Linked DNA regions of Macaca fascicularis. The protein of the gene in region 1 interacts with the protein of each later gene in a pairwise test. Links are inferred from orthologs where the notes say so. Each region holds a gene or a part of one and is shown in the gene's direction. Other genes may lie near its edges.

Region 1 (8,270 bases):
TTATTTATTCTTAGTATTTAATTTTTAACATCCTCTCAGGGACCAGGGGCCTCCTGCTTTTCAGAGGCCCAAGTGCATTTATCCCAAAACGAGGCATCTTGACATCCCCCATCCCCCCCGAATTCCCGAGGCCCTAAGGTCCCTCACCTGGTTGCTCTGGAAGCTCTTGCCGGTAGGAATGATAGCAACACTGGAAGAGGGTGGGAAGGTGGAGGGTGTCACCAAAGCCACACAGAGCAAGGGAGATCAAAGGCAGTTCTTGCTGCCCCTTCTCTGGCTGTGCTTTGCCTAAGGGAATTGGCAACAGGCCAGGATTCTAATTTGGTTTATGGGGCCTGGATTGTGGTTTGAAGAAGCCATATTTGGCATGGGTGAAGTGAAAGGGCCAGGAGGTTCTGGAGGCCCCTTCACGTCCAGTCCCATAGCGGGGCTAGAGCGGGGCTCAGCTGTTTTTCTGATCTTACTCAACTGAGTTGTGCAAAAGAAATTCTAAGTGAATGCGCGTATGACAGGTCAATGTATTAGGAAGGAGCCAGAAAGTATTCATACTGCTACTCCTTACGAGATAGCCAAGAAGCGTCAGGTCAGTAACTGGGAGTGGAGAGGGAGTTTTGTTTTGAAACTGTGCACTGTGAGGTATTTTTCAGCATCCATTTATACATTAATGTGGTTCTACAGGACCCCGGCTGTGGAAGTAACAAATTTCTTCTCCCTCCAGACTCTTGGATGACTACCTACATCCCCAACTTCCCGGTTAGTTTCCTCCACAGGTTTCCATGAGCTCAGTATCCCAAGACAGCAAAAATCTGGTATACCCTGTAGAAGCAGGGGGGTAGCAAATTTAGGCTCTCTTCGAAATTACTTGTATAATACGAGTGCCTTCGCAGCTTAGCCCCAAAGTGCTACTTACGTTTCCCAAGGTTTTTTCTATTCAAACCATATTTGGTTTCAGTCCCCTTTATGGACATAGGGTAACAGAAACCTCCATCATTCAGGAGACCCTTTTGTTCAGTGGTAACATCTTGTACTTGGAAAAAAAATTTTTTTTTTTTTTGCGACAGAGTCCCATTCTGTCGCCCAGGCTGGAGTGCAGTGGTGCGATCTCGGCTCACTGCAACCTCTGCCTCTCGGGTTAAAGGATTCTCCTGCTTCAGCCTCCTGAGTAGCTGGGATTACAGGCACACACCACCACACCCAGCTAATATTTTTGTATGTTTTTTTTTTTAGTAGAGACGGGGTTTTGCCATGTTGGACAGGCTGGTCTTGAACTCCTGACCTTAGGTGATCCACTCGCCTCGGCCTCCCAAAGTGCTGGCATTACAGGCGTGAACCACCGCGCCCGGCCGTAAATGTTTAAACAAGAAAGTGATTCTACTCTTCTAAGCTTACAGAGACCAGACCCGGTGAATGTAACTGGGGAAAATCAAGATGGTACCTCTCTGCATTAATCCTGCCAGACACCATATTTTAGGAAGGTCCATGCTCCAGGATGCATTCATGTCTTGGATACAGTGTGAAAATTAAAAAGTTTAGAGGGTAGATGTAATTGTGGCAAGTGACTTGCCAATAAAGTAGGTGCAGCTATAGAAGCTGGCATAGGTATATCCTTAATGGTGCTTTCTCCCTGGGCTTGTCTCTTGTTGTTTTTTTCCCTATATTCAGAGCTCTGAGAAGTGATAAACACCTCCAGCTTTCTTAACATCCTCCCCACACCATCTCACCATATCCATCTCCCAGCATCCATCTGCATTCAGCTAAGGGCGGGAAACTGACCTAGTGCCTGTGCTGCAGACCATTTCTGAGGTCTCCACCCATCCAAGGAGGCAGAGCCATCATTACTGTCCTCCATGCCTTCAGCAGCCCCCCTCACAGCTAAGGTACATACCACCCCTTCTGCCGCGCCCCCTTCCACTCCTGGCACCAAGGTCTTTTGCTGCTTATGTCTAAAGGGATCGCCTATATTTAACTGCCTCAGTGACCTAACCTCTTTCTTCTCATGTGCCAGATGTTAAGATGAAGGAGGAATACAACACATGCTCAAGCCTCAGCTGTTTAGTTGTTTTCACTGGGGCTCGCTTTTCTGGGACGGTATTTATTATCAGACTGGCAAGCCTAACTCCATAGGTTTACAGGAAGTAGGGATATTTTTATAAAACAATTGTGTCCTCCCCACATTTTGCTATGTTAATATTTGCCTCTAACAATTTGCAGCTGTTTCACTTTTTCCTCATTTGTCTCTAAGTTGAAGGCCTTGTTGGAGGGGACAGAGCACAGGAACAGCCTTGACAGTCTGTAATTATTGTACAAATATTTTAATAGCATATAAATAAGTATATTCCTTTTATTTTGAAACAAAAATGATCAGACACTGCCTTTTGTGTGTTTGCTGCCTGTGGCACCCTTTTTGAAAAAGACTGTTACATATTAAAATAGTGTACATACATATAAATATTACCTCTTTTGCTGTACAGTTGTGATAGAGACTGAAGATTTTATTTTTTGTGTGCTTTTTATAAGAAAAAATTAATACACTAAAGAATCTTGCTGATGTGATTGTAATGTACCTATGTAACTTATTTACTTTTGAATGTTCTTCTGTATCTTTAAACCTTTTATTAAATAAGGTTTTAAAAATTCAGAGTTGAATGCTATGTTCTCTCGGGATTTTCACCATCTGGGGTTGATGTAAGTGGGCCTTGTCTTGCTTGCAGGGAGATTACTCGACATTTTTGAGCCATAAGGATTCTCTTTTAGCAGCCTATTGTCGATGCCAGCCAGGAAAAGGAAAATAACACTAATGTTTGCCTGGCTAAAAGATGACTCAGTAGACACAGACAAACAGATGTTTACAAAAGTTTAGACAAGAAAAAGTCTAAACTCAGTATCTCACACAAAAAATGGCGCACTCCGGCTTCATTGGGATAAAATATGCAGGGTGCACAGTGTGGTCAGGGGTAACGGGAAGCCAGGGTTCTGAGGAGAGTATTTTCACGTGCAGGGTGGACTGGCTGGGCAACCCGAGTAGACAAGTCCACCATGAGGGATGCCATGACTTCCAATAGTATCATCTTAAATGCACTCCAGGATTGGGTTATTATTTTTAAAACACGGTGCTTAGCAGTATTTGTTTGCTGTTAAAATGGAAAATTATGAAAAAGGAAATGCGCCATCAGAGAAACAAATGCCCAAGCCCCTCGCTGGCACCATGGCAACCGCTCGACCCCCGCGGGCCGCCGGAGCAGGCGTGATTCGCGCCAGCTGGGGCGCCGTTGCCATGGCGACGCCCGAGCGGCTCCGCCGCGGGGGCGGGACGGGGCGGGGCTGACGCCGCTCGCGGGCTGGCCCCATCCTCCACTGCAGCAGTAACGTCGCAGCGGGTTGCGGGTAGGACTCGACGCTGGGGCAGCCGCGCAGCGCCTGAGCCGCTGCAGGCCGCCGCGGCCGCCGCTGCCCACCCTTGCCTGTGCTGTTTCCAGCCTCGCTTCTCCGGCTTTCCTGCTCCTCTGCTGCCTTCGTTTCTGGTCCTCGGCCGTCCTCGCCGCCCGCCCAGAGGAGTCCCCGCGCCCGCCAAGAGGAGTCCCCACGCCCTCCAAGAAGCCGCTCTCCGCTGGCCCGCAGCCGCCGCGACTTCGGCACAGTCTCTCCCTCTGGCTAGTCTCCCAAACGGCCGCTCCTCGCCCGCGGGAAGACCGGGCTGCGACCGCGAACGCCCGATCCTCTCCAGGAGCCGCAGCGAGCGCCCGGCGGGCACGCCCCGCGACCACACCCCGGCTGCTTTCGACCCAGCGCGCCTGCCTTCGCCGCCCGCCCTCGCTCCTTGCCCGCTGCACGACGACGCGACAGCCCGGCTGCAAGCGGCAGACCCGACCGGACCCGGACCCAGACGCAAGATGGCGACGGCCGCGTGACTTCCTCAGCGTCCCCGAGCTCAGCTCCAAGTGTACCTACGGACTGACTGGGGGGGCAGAGAAGGGCGAGATCAGGACTCTGTGTCTTTGTTAGTCGTGAATGCATGAAGCCTACCTCCCTTGGGCCTATTTGGTGGGAGTGTCTGGTATTGTTCTAAGGCCAGGAGTACGGTGAGCCACAGTCTGTTGGTAGAATTGGCGTCTTGATAGTTGAGAAAATGGCGATGACACTGTTGGAAGACTGGTGCCGGGGGATGGATGTGAACTCCCAGAGAGCTCTGTTGGTCTGGGGCATCCCAGTGAACTGTGATGAGGCTGAAATCGAAGAGACCCTCCAGGCAGCGATGCCCCAGGTCCCCTACCGAATGCTTGGGAGAATGTTCTGGAGGGAAGAAAATGCGAAAGCAGCCTTATTAGAGCTCACTGGCGCTGTCGATTACGCCGCGATCCCCAGGGAGATGCCGGGCAAAGGAGGGGTCTGGAAAGTGTTGTTTAAGCCCCCAACTTCTGATGCTGAATTTTTAGAAAGATTGCACCTCTTCCTAGCTAGAGAGGGGTGGACCGTGCAAGATGTTGCGCGTGTCCTTGGGTTTCAGAACCCTACTCCGACCCCGGGCCCAGAGATGCCAGCAGAGATGCTAAACTATATTTTGGATAATGTTATTCAGCCTCTTGTTGAGTCCATATGGTACAAGAGGCTGACACTTTTCTCGGGGAGGGACATCCCAGGGCCTGGAGAGGAAACCTTTGATCCCTGGCTGGAGCACACTAATGAGGTCCTAGAGGAGTGGCAGGTGTCCGATGTAGAAAAGAGGCGGCGGTTGATGGAGAGCCTTAGAGGCCCTGCCGCTGATGTCATTCGCATCCTCAAGTCCAACAACCCCGCGATAACCACTGCCGAATGCCTGAAGGCGCTTGAGCAGGTGTTTGGGAGCGTTGAGAGCTCTAGGGATGCCCAGATCAAATTTCTGAACACTTATCAGAACCCGGGAGAAAAATTGTCTGCTTATGTCATTCGTCTGGAGCCTCTGCTACAGAAGGTGGTAGAGAAGGGGGCCATTGATAAAGATAACGTGAACCAGGCCCGCCTAGAGCAGGTCATTGCTGGGGCCAACCACAGCGGGGCCATCCGAAGGCAGCTGTGGCTTACCGGGGCTGGGGAAGGGCCGGCCCCAAACCTCTTTCAGTTGCTGGTGCAGATCCGTGAGGAGGAAGCCAAGGAGGAGGAGGAGGAGGCTGAGGCCACCCTTCTGCAGTTAGGCCTGGAAGGGCACTTCTGAGTGCCAGAAAAGACAGCTTTAGTGCAGACCTAGATCACAGCTAGTTTTCTTGTCCCTGTGGGGGTCTTACAGATGTGTCTCTGAGTAGTAAAGGCTTAGCCCTGTTCCGTTTTGTTGTTTTTTTGGAGGGGAAGGTTAGTCAGGCCTGAGTATTCATGTAACATTCTAAAATTGTGCAAGCGAGCACCGTGAGCTGCTACAATGCAAGTGGGTCTTGCTGGCTAAAGTGCCAGGTAAAGGGTTGGTTGGACACAGCGCTTAGTGCACGCTGTCATCATGGACATCATAATCAGTTGTGAAAAACACACGAACCTCTGACACTTCCTATTCCACACTGAATGTGAAATTGCATGTGCAGATGTTTACTACGGGGCCTGGCTCACAGGAAGTGTTCAGTAAAAGTATGAACTATTAGATTACTGATAGCGCAGATAGATTTTTCTTTACCATAAATAGTTCCAGATTTATATTGATGGAAGGAAATGTGCATTTATTAGCTATTACTCAACTTTACAATGCAAACATCATATTTCTCATCTTTAAACATGTCGATCAGTTTAATTGAAAAGTATTCTGAGACTGCAAAATGGGGTGTTAAAAAAATACTGCAATTACGGAGCTGTGTAAACCAGTTTCTCATTGCATAAGATACAGATGTAAATTGCATGGAGAGGTTGATATGCACCTGTACAGTAATTCACTTCCCCATTTCAGATCTTTGTCAGAGAATAGTTCTTGTTCATACTGAGTGTTCTAAATTTGAAGTTATATATACAAATTAAAATATTTTAAAAATTCTGTTGTCTTCTCATTTTTCTGGCATGTATAAACATTTTTAGCCTAAGTAAACTCTGTCCTTTTTTCTTATGAAGACTTTGTCATTAAACCATTTATTTTACTCTTAAGCTTTGTATGATACTATGTGAATTTAAATGGCAAGTCCTTTTTTTTCCTTCCCCTCTTGCTGTCATCTTAACATTTTTTTGGTTTATTTTTTAATTTTTTAAATTTTTTATTTTTATTAAGGGCAGAGAGGGTCTTGCTCTGTTGCCCAGGCTGGAGTGCAATGGAGCGATCTCAGCTCACTGCAACGTCTGCCTCCCGGATTCAAGTGATTCTCCTGCCTCAGCCTCCTGAGTAGCTGGGATTACAGGCATGTGCCACCACACCTAGCTAATTTTGTATTTTTTTTAGTAGAGATGGGTTTCACCACGTTGGTCAGGTTGGTCTGGAACGCCTGACCTCAAGTGATCCACCTGCCTCGGCTTCCCAAAGTGCTGGGATTACAGGCATGAGCCATCTAGTTTTTTCTACTAAAAATACAAAAATTAGCCGGGTGTGGTGGTGGGTGCCTTTAATTCCGGCTACTTGGGAAGCTGAGGCAGGAGAATCACTCTGGGAGGCAGAGGTTGCAGTGAGCCGAGATTGCGCCACTGCACTGCAGCCTGGGCAACAGAGTGAGACTCTTGTCTCAAAAAAAAAAAAAAAATCTAGGCCGGGCGCGGTGGCTCACGCCTGTAATCCCAGCACTTTGGGAGGCCGAGGCGGGCGGATCACAAGGTCAGGATATCGAGACCACGGTGAAACCCCGTCTCTACTAAAAATACAAAAAATTAGCCGGGCGCGGTTGTGGGCGCCTGTAGTCCCAGCTACTCGGGAGGCTGAGGCAGGAGAATGGCGTGAACCCGGGAGGCGGAGCTTGCAGTGAGCCGAGATCGCGCCACTGCACTCCAGCCTGGGCGACAGAGCGAGACTCCGTCTCAAAAAAAAAAAAAAAAAAATTTAGAGACCAGATATGGTGGCTCACACTTGTAATCCCAGCACTTAGGGAGGATTGCCTGAAGCCAAGATTTTGAGACCAGCCTGGGCAACACAGACCCAATCTCCACATACATTTTTAAAAATTAGCCAGGCATGGTGGCACAGGCCTGTGGTCCCAGCAGCTCAGGCAGCTGAGGTGGGAGATTGCTTGAGCTCAGGAGGTTGAGGCTGCAGTGCGCCATGATCGCCCCACCGCACTCCAACCTGGTGATAAAGTGAGACCCTGTTTCTCAAAAAATTTTTTTTAGAAAATCTTGAAATGGGGTTCAGGAGGTTATCTGGCAATGTTTTTCTCTTAAGATCACTTTTCAGCTAAACATTTTATTTCACTGAAGAAATAACTATAATTCATCACACCTGTGTAAAATGACGGCTTATTTTACAGCAGCCATTTATAACAGGAAGATATAAAAAGGGAAATACAGCTATAAAACATGTTTTTTTTGAGGCAAAGATTCAGTGATTGAAGATATCCATCTTTTGAGGTCCTCAGTGAATCTAAAGTTACTACATGAATATTGTGTTCAGTGAGCTTTTCCCTAATAAGGTTTTAAAATTATAGCTGAGCCATTCGACAAGTTTATAAGGGGTAATGTATGTTCTTCCAGATTTTTCGGTGCACATATTCGCTTCACGTCTGTACATCCCTTTCCTCCTGTCACAAACACATCTCCACATACTTGCCTTGGTTCCCAACAGATACGCTCAGCTTCACTTACCACAAACACTCGGCATGTCTTCACCCACTACCCACCATTCACATAACTTTCCCCTCCATTCCCACCAGCATCAGGCATGCACTCAGCCGACCTCTCACACTCTGGACACATTCACTGTCATCTCCCCCTCAGTACTCTCCGGATAACATACACCCTCCTCCCGTTCCATGTACACTATGCCACTCTCCCAACCTCAACATACATTCCCACTTCTCCTCACACCCACACACACTCCCACCACCAAACACCAACGAGCCACCACATATATGTACACACTCCCACTCCACACATATACACACATACTACATTTTTTTTTTTTTTTTGAGACGGAGTCTTGCTGTGTCACCCAGGCTGGAGTGCAGTGGCGTAATCTTGGCTTACTGCAACCTCTCTCTTGGGCTCAAGTGATCCTCCTGCCTCAGCCTCCCAAGTAGCTGGGATTACAGGTGTGTGCCACCACACCCGGCTAATTTTTGTATTTTTAGTAGAGACAGGGTTTCACCATGTAGGCCAGGCTGGTCTCAAACTCCTGACCGCGTGGT
Region 2 (7,543 bases), on another chromosome or scaffold:
TAATAATTCTTATGTTCTATATTAATCATCGTGTGTATAGTCTATAAGTATTACTGTTCTGTACTGTTTATGTTTTATTCATTTTTCACTTGAGCTTCTGTTGGAACTTCCGTCTTAACAGGCAGAATAATTTTAGCTCCATATTCCTTCCTTGATCCATTTACCTCTGCAGATAATGCTTAAGGTCTTAGCTGGTGTGATAAACTCTTAATGATTCTCACAGAGCCCAGGAACCCAGCCCTGTTGTTGGAGACATTTGGAGGAAGGGCATGCAGGAACAGACGGGGTCTCACACAGGCGTTTTTGGAGGTGATGGTTATTGTCTGCTACTTGTCAGTTATGCCCATTTTAAACAGAAACAATCGTGTTTACAATGGAGAGAATGACTTGGATTGTGGGCATTAGAATGGAGTTTGTCTAAAGCCTGGAAGTCAGTCAAGACATGGAGAAAAAGGGAGGCAATTATCTGAAGACACTCTGAATATTAGCAGAGTTTTGGCATTAAGAGGGAAGGATAATGCAAGCATCATACTCACTGTCCTCTGGATGATGCAGGAGACACAGATAAACATGAAAAACTAGGTAACCCAAATTCCAGAATGCTTTCAATCTGTGTATGCCTGCATTTTTTATGGAAAAATGTCATTTCTGTGGGGTCACTCAAGTGGAAATGTTAGCATTGGATGATAGTATCTGACCAGTATCCTGGATCAGAGACAGGATTCTGGCCAGGAGCCTGGGAGGAGGTGCTAGGAGAGTAATTGAGGCATAGAGAGGTGTGTTAACTGAAGGTGCTTGACTGGAAGCTGCCATTGTTGGTTTGTTGGAACTCTGGAGCAACATGCTGGAAGCTGCACTTGGTCACTGAATGCAGATATTTGTGATATAACAAAATGAGAAGAAGGTCGTTTCCCATGATGGTTGTGCTCCCGTTTTTTGTCCACTCTGTCTCCCAGACTCTTTGGGTCTGGCTGCTCTGGCAGCACCAGAGGTCTCGCAGAATCTGCTGGGTTCCCTGGACACTGTAAGAGGCAGGACCCCTCCAAGGGAGCAGTGAGGAGGCCTCTGCAGTCAGAGCACAGTTTTGAGGTCTGCACTTTAGAAATAGCACTGCTAGAAAAGCCAGACTAATACTCTTAAATACATTAAAATATGCAGTCAAGTGAAGTTTGGCTGCTTAGTGTTTTATAATCTTTCTTGAAAAGCAAAAATAAATTTAAGAAATTTCATACAGTATTTTTAAATTTTTTTGAGGAACATCATTCTATCCTATATAAAATCCTGGTGCAGTGCAGTGTATTCTGAAAGGCCGTCAGAAAATTGTTTGATTATAATATTTTTGTCATAAGTTCTTTGGCAGTGCTAATTTAATTCATAAAATACTTAATTCATAAGAAAGTGTGTGTATGGCCAGGCACAGTGGCTCATGCCTGTAATCGCAGCACTTTGGGAGGCCGAGGTGGGTGGATCACTTGAGGTCAGGAGTTTAAGACCAGCCTGGCCAACATGGCAAAACCCCTTTTCTACTAAAAATACAAAAATTAGTCAGACATGGTGGCGCACACCTGTAATCCCAGCTATCTGGGAGGCTGAGGCAGGAGAATCGCTTGAACCCAGGATGCAGAGGTTGCGTGAGCCAAGATTGTGCCACTGCACTCCAGCCTAGGCGACAGAGCAAGACTTTGTCTCCAAAAAAGAAGAAAGTGTGTGCATGGCACATCCTTCATTTGTGCTCTAAAAAATTTAAGAAATTTTTTTTTACACTTTCAGCAAATCCTGAAGGAACCCAAAGTGGCTGCTTCTGTTTTGAATCCCTATGTGAAGCGTTCTATTAAAGTGAAAAGCCTAAATGACATCACAGCAAAAGAGAGGTTCTCTCCCCTCACCACCAACCTGATCAGTGAGTATTAGAACTTTTTCATTTGAGGTGTCTTAAAACCGTGACTGGAAATGTGGTCCATGGACCATGGGCATCAGCATCACCTGGGAGCCTGTTGGCAGTGAAGAATCTCAGGCCTCACCTGCTGAATCAGAGTCTGCATCTTAAGCAGCTCCCTAAGTGAATTGTTTGCATATTAAAGTGTGAGGAGCACTGTCTAAAGGATGCTAGGACCTAAGCGTGTCTAATTGCATAGTCAGTAGTTTCAACTGTGGAGGCAGCCAATATGATACCTACCAAGAAAATGGTTTGTGGCCTGTGGGTATACCTTGATCCTTGGAGACATTTGCATTCTTGGGTACATTTGGACTGCTTTTCTCTCTTTTTTCTTTTTTTTCTTCATTGAGACAGAGTCTTACTCTGTCACTCAGGCTGGAGTACAGTGGCACGATCTCAGCTCACTGCACCCTCAACCTCCCAGACTCAGGTGCTCCTCCCACCTCAGCCTCCCTAGTAGCTGGGAATACAGGTGCATGCCACCACACCCAGCTAATTTTTTGTATTTTTTGTAGAGATGGGGTTTCTCCATGTTGCCCAGCCTGGTCTTGAACTCCTGGGCTCAAGCCATCTGCCTACCTTGGCTTCCCAAAGTGTTGGGATTACAGGCGTGAGCCACCATGAGGCCTGGATTGCTTTTCAGATCGTCATAGCCAGCTCAAAATAAAAATTGCAAAGAAAGTGTGTTTACGGTATCATCTTTGAATTTGTAGCCAAACGTATAATCTGTAACGTAAATATGAAAATCAGATTGCAAGCTCAGTACAAGAGGTCTGTTGCAGACCTGTATGGGTGAGAACCCCCCATACCTACTAATTTAAATCCTTGTCAGTACAGTCTATTTAAAAAAACAAAATCGAATATGCATTTTAAATAACAAGTTGTATCTTCATTCTTTTTTTTTGAGACTGGGTGTCTCTTTCTGTCACCAAAGCTGGAGTGCAGTGGCACAGTCTCGGCTCACTGCAGCCTCTGCCACCTGAGCTTAAGTGATCCTTCTTCCTCAGCCTCCTGAGTAGCTGGAACTACAAGCATGCCCCACCATGCCCAGCTAACTTTTGAGGTTTTTTTTTTTTTTTTTTTTTTGGTAGAGACGGGGTTTCACCATGTTACCCAGGCTGGTCTCAAAATCCTGGACGCAAGCTGTCTGCCCACCTCGGCCTCCCAAAGTGCTAGGATTATAGGCGTGAGCCACTGCACTCAGCCTCCATTCATATTCTTAAAGGACATTGAATATATTGTGATTTTAAGAGACAAGATCTTACTCTGTCACCCAGGCTGGGGTGCAGTAAGACAATCATAGCACACTGCAGCCTTAAACTCCTAGGCTCAAGCAATCTTCCTGCCTCATCCTCCTGAATAGCTGGGACTCTAGACATGCACCACCAAGCCCTAACGTTTTTTTGTAGAGTTGGGATCTCGCTATGTTGGCTGGTCTTGAACTCATGGCCTCAAGCAATCTTTGCGCCTCAGCCTCCAGTAGTTGGGATTATAGGCATGCACCCCTGAATATGGTGTTTTAAGGCCACACATCTAAGTTTGTTTTTTGGGTTGAGTATACGGCTTCATGAATAACTTGTTCAGGTGAGTTTCGTGTTACTGAGACACCTTCACTCTGCCAGATTTGCTTGCGGAAAATGGTCGCTTAAGCAATGCCCAGGGAGTCGTTTCTGCCTTTTCTACCATGATGAGTGTCCATCGCGGAGAGGTGCCTTGCACGGTGACCACTGCATCTGTAAGTAATGGGTTGCTGCTGTGTTTGCCTTGATATTACATGCGCCACCTTTTGCAGGAAGAAGGAAAAAACAGTAAAATCAAGAAATGGGGAAAGGTCACTTGTCACCTGGGATGTTTGTTTCATTTTTATATCAGCTTCTGTGACCCTTTGCTTTGGAAAAGCCAGCATGTATCTTATTAGTGCTTCTGTAACCAGTGATTTATTCATAAGGCCTGGGTTAAATGTAAAGTACATCAAACTGTGTTAGAAAAGAGTGGTTTAGACTCCATTATATGTTTGAATTATATTATAAATGCCGCTTGAAGTAGTTTACTGAAACTAGAGTTCTAGAGTTTTTTTTGAGACAGTCTCACTTTGTCACCCAGGCTGGAGTGCAGTGACGTGATCACACTTCTGCAGCCTCAACCTTCTGGGCTCAGGTGATCCTCCTGCCTCATCCTCCTGGGTAGCTGGGACTACAGTGCACCCCCACCACACCCAGCTAATTTTTTTGTATTTTTTGTAGAGGTGGGGGTTTTACCGTGTTCTCCAGGCTTGTCTTGAACTTCTGGGCTCAAGTGACTCACCTGCCTCGGCCTCCTAAAGTGCTGGGAATAAAGGTGTAAGCTACCACACCTGGCCTGAAACTAGAGTTGCAAACCTTTCATCTTTTGTGGTGGTGAATGGGAAGGAGTAGAATGGGTGGGCCTTTGTATCTTATATAGAGTGGGCTATAATTAGCTACCATTTATTGAACCCTACTATATGCTGAGTACTTTATTATTTTATTCAGTATCAAAAGATTCATGTGAGATAGAAGTATAATTATCCTCATTTTACAGATGAGGAAGCCGAATGCAGGGAAATGCAGTCACTTGCCCAAAGTCATAGGAGGTGGGACTAGAATTTGAACACAGGCCTCAAGGCCTCTTGGAAATCCATATTCCTTTTACTACACTTCATTGCCTCCATAGAATTAATTTTGTTATTGTCTTAAATACATATTTTCTTCCCTATGTAACTCAGTCAAATGTAATGTAGCTCACTCTACAGGAAAACAGGAGAGTGTGGTAGATTTACTTGGAATTTGTAGCACCTGACCTCATCCAGATTAATAGTTCTAAGTGTTTAAAGGACAGTCTGACCTTCTAGTTAGCACAGATTCAAGGAGAGGCATCCCAGCACATCATACTTATTTGCACATTTGTAGTTCAGTAGTTGGTGCCCACAAAACATGTGCCTGGTTGCAAATCATTACAGCCCAGACATAGGCAGGGAGCCCTCTGTGGCTGCACCGGTTATCCCTAACAGTGTGGCGCAGATTAGAGATTCATCTGCCCCCCAGTCACCCATCATGAAGCACTGGTGCAGGGCATTCTTCAGTGAATACAAGGACATGATTTTCTTTTCTTTTCTTTTCTTCCTTTCTTTTTCTTTCTTTTTTTTTGAGACTGAGTCTCACTCTGGCACCCGGGCTGGAGTGCAGTGGCACAATCTCAGCTCACTGCAACCTCTGCCTCCCAGGTTCAAGCAATTCTCCTGCCTCAGCCTCCCAAGTAGCTGGGATTATGACACCTGCTACCACACCCGGCTAACTCTTTGTATTTTTAGTAGAGACGGGGTTTCACCATGTTGACCAGGCTGGTCTTGAACTCCTGACCTCAGGCAAGCCACCCGCCTTGGCCTCCCAAAGTCCTGGGGCCACAGGTGTGAGCCACCGTGCCCAACCACAAGGACATGATTTTCTTTTAAAGGATACTTACTTTTGCAAAAGATTTTAGAACCAACTGTTACTAATGCTTTTGATGTTGATACTACTGGGTCCGTGAGTCTGTACTGTTTGAAAAACATTATCTTGATGAATGACTAAGAGCACAGGCTTTAGAAATACACAGACTGGTTTTAAATATTGGGACTAGTCTTCACTTGCTGATGTGACCTTAGGTGAGTTTCTTAACCACTCTGATCCTCAGTTCCCTCATATGTAAAATGGGAATAATAACCACTGGCCTTGCAGGGCTGCCCACATGAAGGGAGATAGTAGGTATGAAATGTCTGGCATAGACAGGCACCTGGCAGTTTGTACACGTCTCAGTGGAGGGTATGTATATTTCAGAATTCTGTAACCTTTTAGTCTCAGTAAATAATGTTTTGAATAAGAATAGACTGTGGCCAACAGCACCACCCCCTACCCCCAAAAAAGGATATTGTCAGATCTTTACAAAGACAAATTTTTTTGCTAAATTTTTTTAGGCTCTTGGAGGAGGGGCTAGGGAGGTACGATTTATGACAAGTGAAAAAAGGCCTTTGCAGCAGGGTGTGGTGGCTCACGCTTGTAACCCCAGCATTTTGGGAGACTGAAGCGGGTGGATCACTTGAGGCCAGGAGTTCGAGACCAGCCTGACCAACATGGTAAAACCCCGTCTCTACTCAAAATACAAAAATTAGCCGGGTGTGGTGGCACGCGCCTATAATTCCAGCTACTTGGGAAGCTGAGGCAGGAGAATTGCTTGAACCTGGGAGGCGGAGGCTGCAGTGAGGTGAGATCTCGCCACTGTACTCCAGCCTGGGTGACAGAGCGAGACTCGGTCTCAAAAAAAAGGCCTTTGCTTTAATAGCCTTTTTCATTTTCACCATTATAACACTTAACACTTTAACATTATAACTAACCAGGATTAAGAGTTGGGGCCGAGAGGAGAGTGCAGTCTGCATATTTGAGGTGCTTGCTCTAAAGTAGATTATGGAGCTGAGCTGACTTCAGAAAAAGCCAGCTGCTCCAGGTTCTCTCACTGGGGTTCAGAGAGTGGAGTGGCCTGCCAGAGTTCCAGGTAGCTGTGGATGCGGGGAGATGAACAGCCAGCAGAGCTAGGGAAACATGAAGATGTAAAACCAGGTTAAAATGGCAACTTTTCACCCAAGGACATGATAGGTGCATGTTGTGACCCCAGGGCTGCCCCAGGAGGGGCCTGCGTCCTCCTGCATTGGTGGGGCTGTGTCTTCAGGCATTAGAAACTTGAGGGCCTTTCCTTGTTAATTCCAGGTTGTACTGCTAGCACACAGAGCAGAGGCAGGGAGGAAGTGGCATTTATAGGCAGTCCATGAATGACCGAGTGGGAGCTGCCCAGGTGATGCTGTGAGGCAGGGCCTTCCTGTGCTCCCTGAACCTCCAGCGCGAACAAGGAGTGAACGCTGCAGAGCAGCTCCATGATGGGCCCAGGTGGCTAAGGGAGGCGCTCACAAGGCCTGTCTTGGTGATGTGGGCCTGGAGTCTTTTAACTCTGGAAGTTTCTGTTTTGCTTTATCTAAATTGAAAGGGTGGTTTTGCCTTTCAGCCTTTAGAAGAAGCCACACTCTCTGAATTAAAAACTGTCCTCAAGAGCTTCCTGAGTCAAGGCCAAGTATTGAAATTGGAGGCTAAGGTGGGTTTTAAATTATTTATGGTATGTTTCCTCAGGTTCTTTTAAACTTAAAATGGCTACAGAAAGTACTAGTGAAATATTAGATCTAACTCTATACTAATTTTTCTGTAGTTAAAAGTTTGTCTTTATTTTAAATGTAAATGATGATCTGACTGTGCAGTTTTACTTTTGCCTTTTTCTAGGTGTAATTATAGCCTCTCACATTTGTGTAGCACATTGAGCCTTTCAGAACACTTGTGTATATCCCATTTGATGAGTGCGTTTTCACACTTGCCGTCGATTTTCTTTTGTAGACTGATCCGTCAATCATGGGTGGAATGATTGTGCGCATTGGAGAGAAGTATGTTGACATGTCTGTCAAGACCAAGATTCAGAAGCTGGGCAGGGCTATGCGGGAGGCTGTCTAAGTGTTGGTTTTCTGCCATCAGTGAAAATTCTTAAACTTGGAGCAACAATAAAAAGCTTCCAGAA

The links. The genes of interacting proteins can lie anywhere in the genome.
Region 2: the proteins of PNMA1 (region 1) and ATP5PO interact in binary tests that used the Homo sapiens proteins (3 or more experiments, as listed by UniProt). The two-hybrid records come from large-scale screens. The link is inferred for Macaca fascicularis from reciprocal best matches to the Homo sapiens genes PNMA1 and ATP5PO.

Annotation. Positions count from the first base shown.
Region 1 is NC_088381.1:141,638,072-141,646,341, reverse strand, and holds PNMA1 (paraneoplastic antigen Ma1), read left to right. Parts: upstream 1-3,361; 5' UTR 3,362-4,126; coding exon 4,127-5,188; 3' UTR 5,189-5,986; downstream 5,987-8,270.
Region 2 is NC_088377.1:13,018,530-13,026,072, forward strand, and holds part of ATP5PO (ATP synthase peripheral stalk subunit OSCP, mitochondrial), read left to right. Parts: intron 1-1,770; coding exon 1,771-1,900; intron 1,901-3,558; coding exon 3,559-3,671; intron 3,672-6,985; coding exon 6,986-7,072; intron 7,073-7,365; coding exon 7,366-7,479; 3' UTR 7,480-7,543. UniProt on the Homo sapiens protein: Subunit OSCP, of the mitochondrial membrane ATP synthase complex (F(1)F(0) ATP synthase or Complex V) that produces ATP from ADP in the presence of a proton gradient across the membrane which is generated by electron transport complexes of the respiratory chain.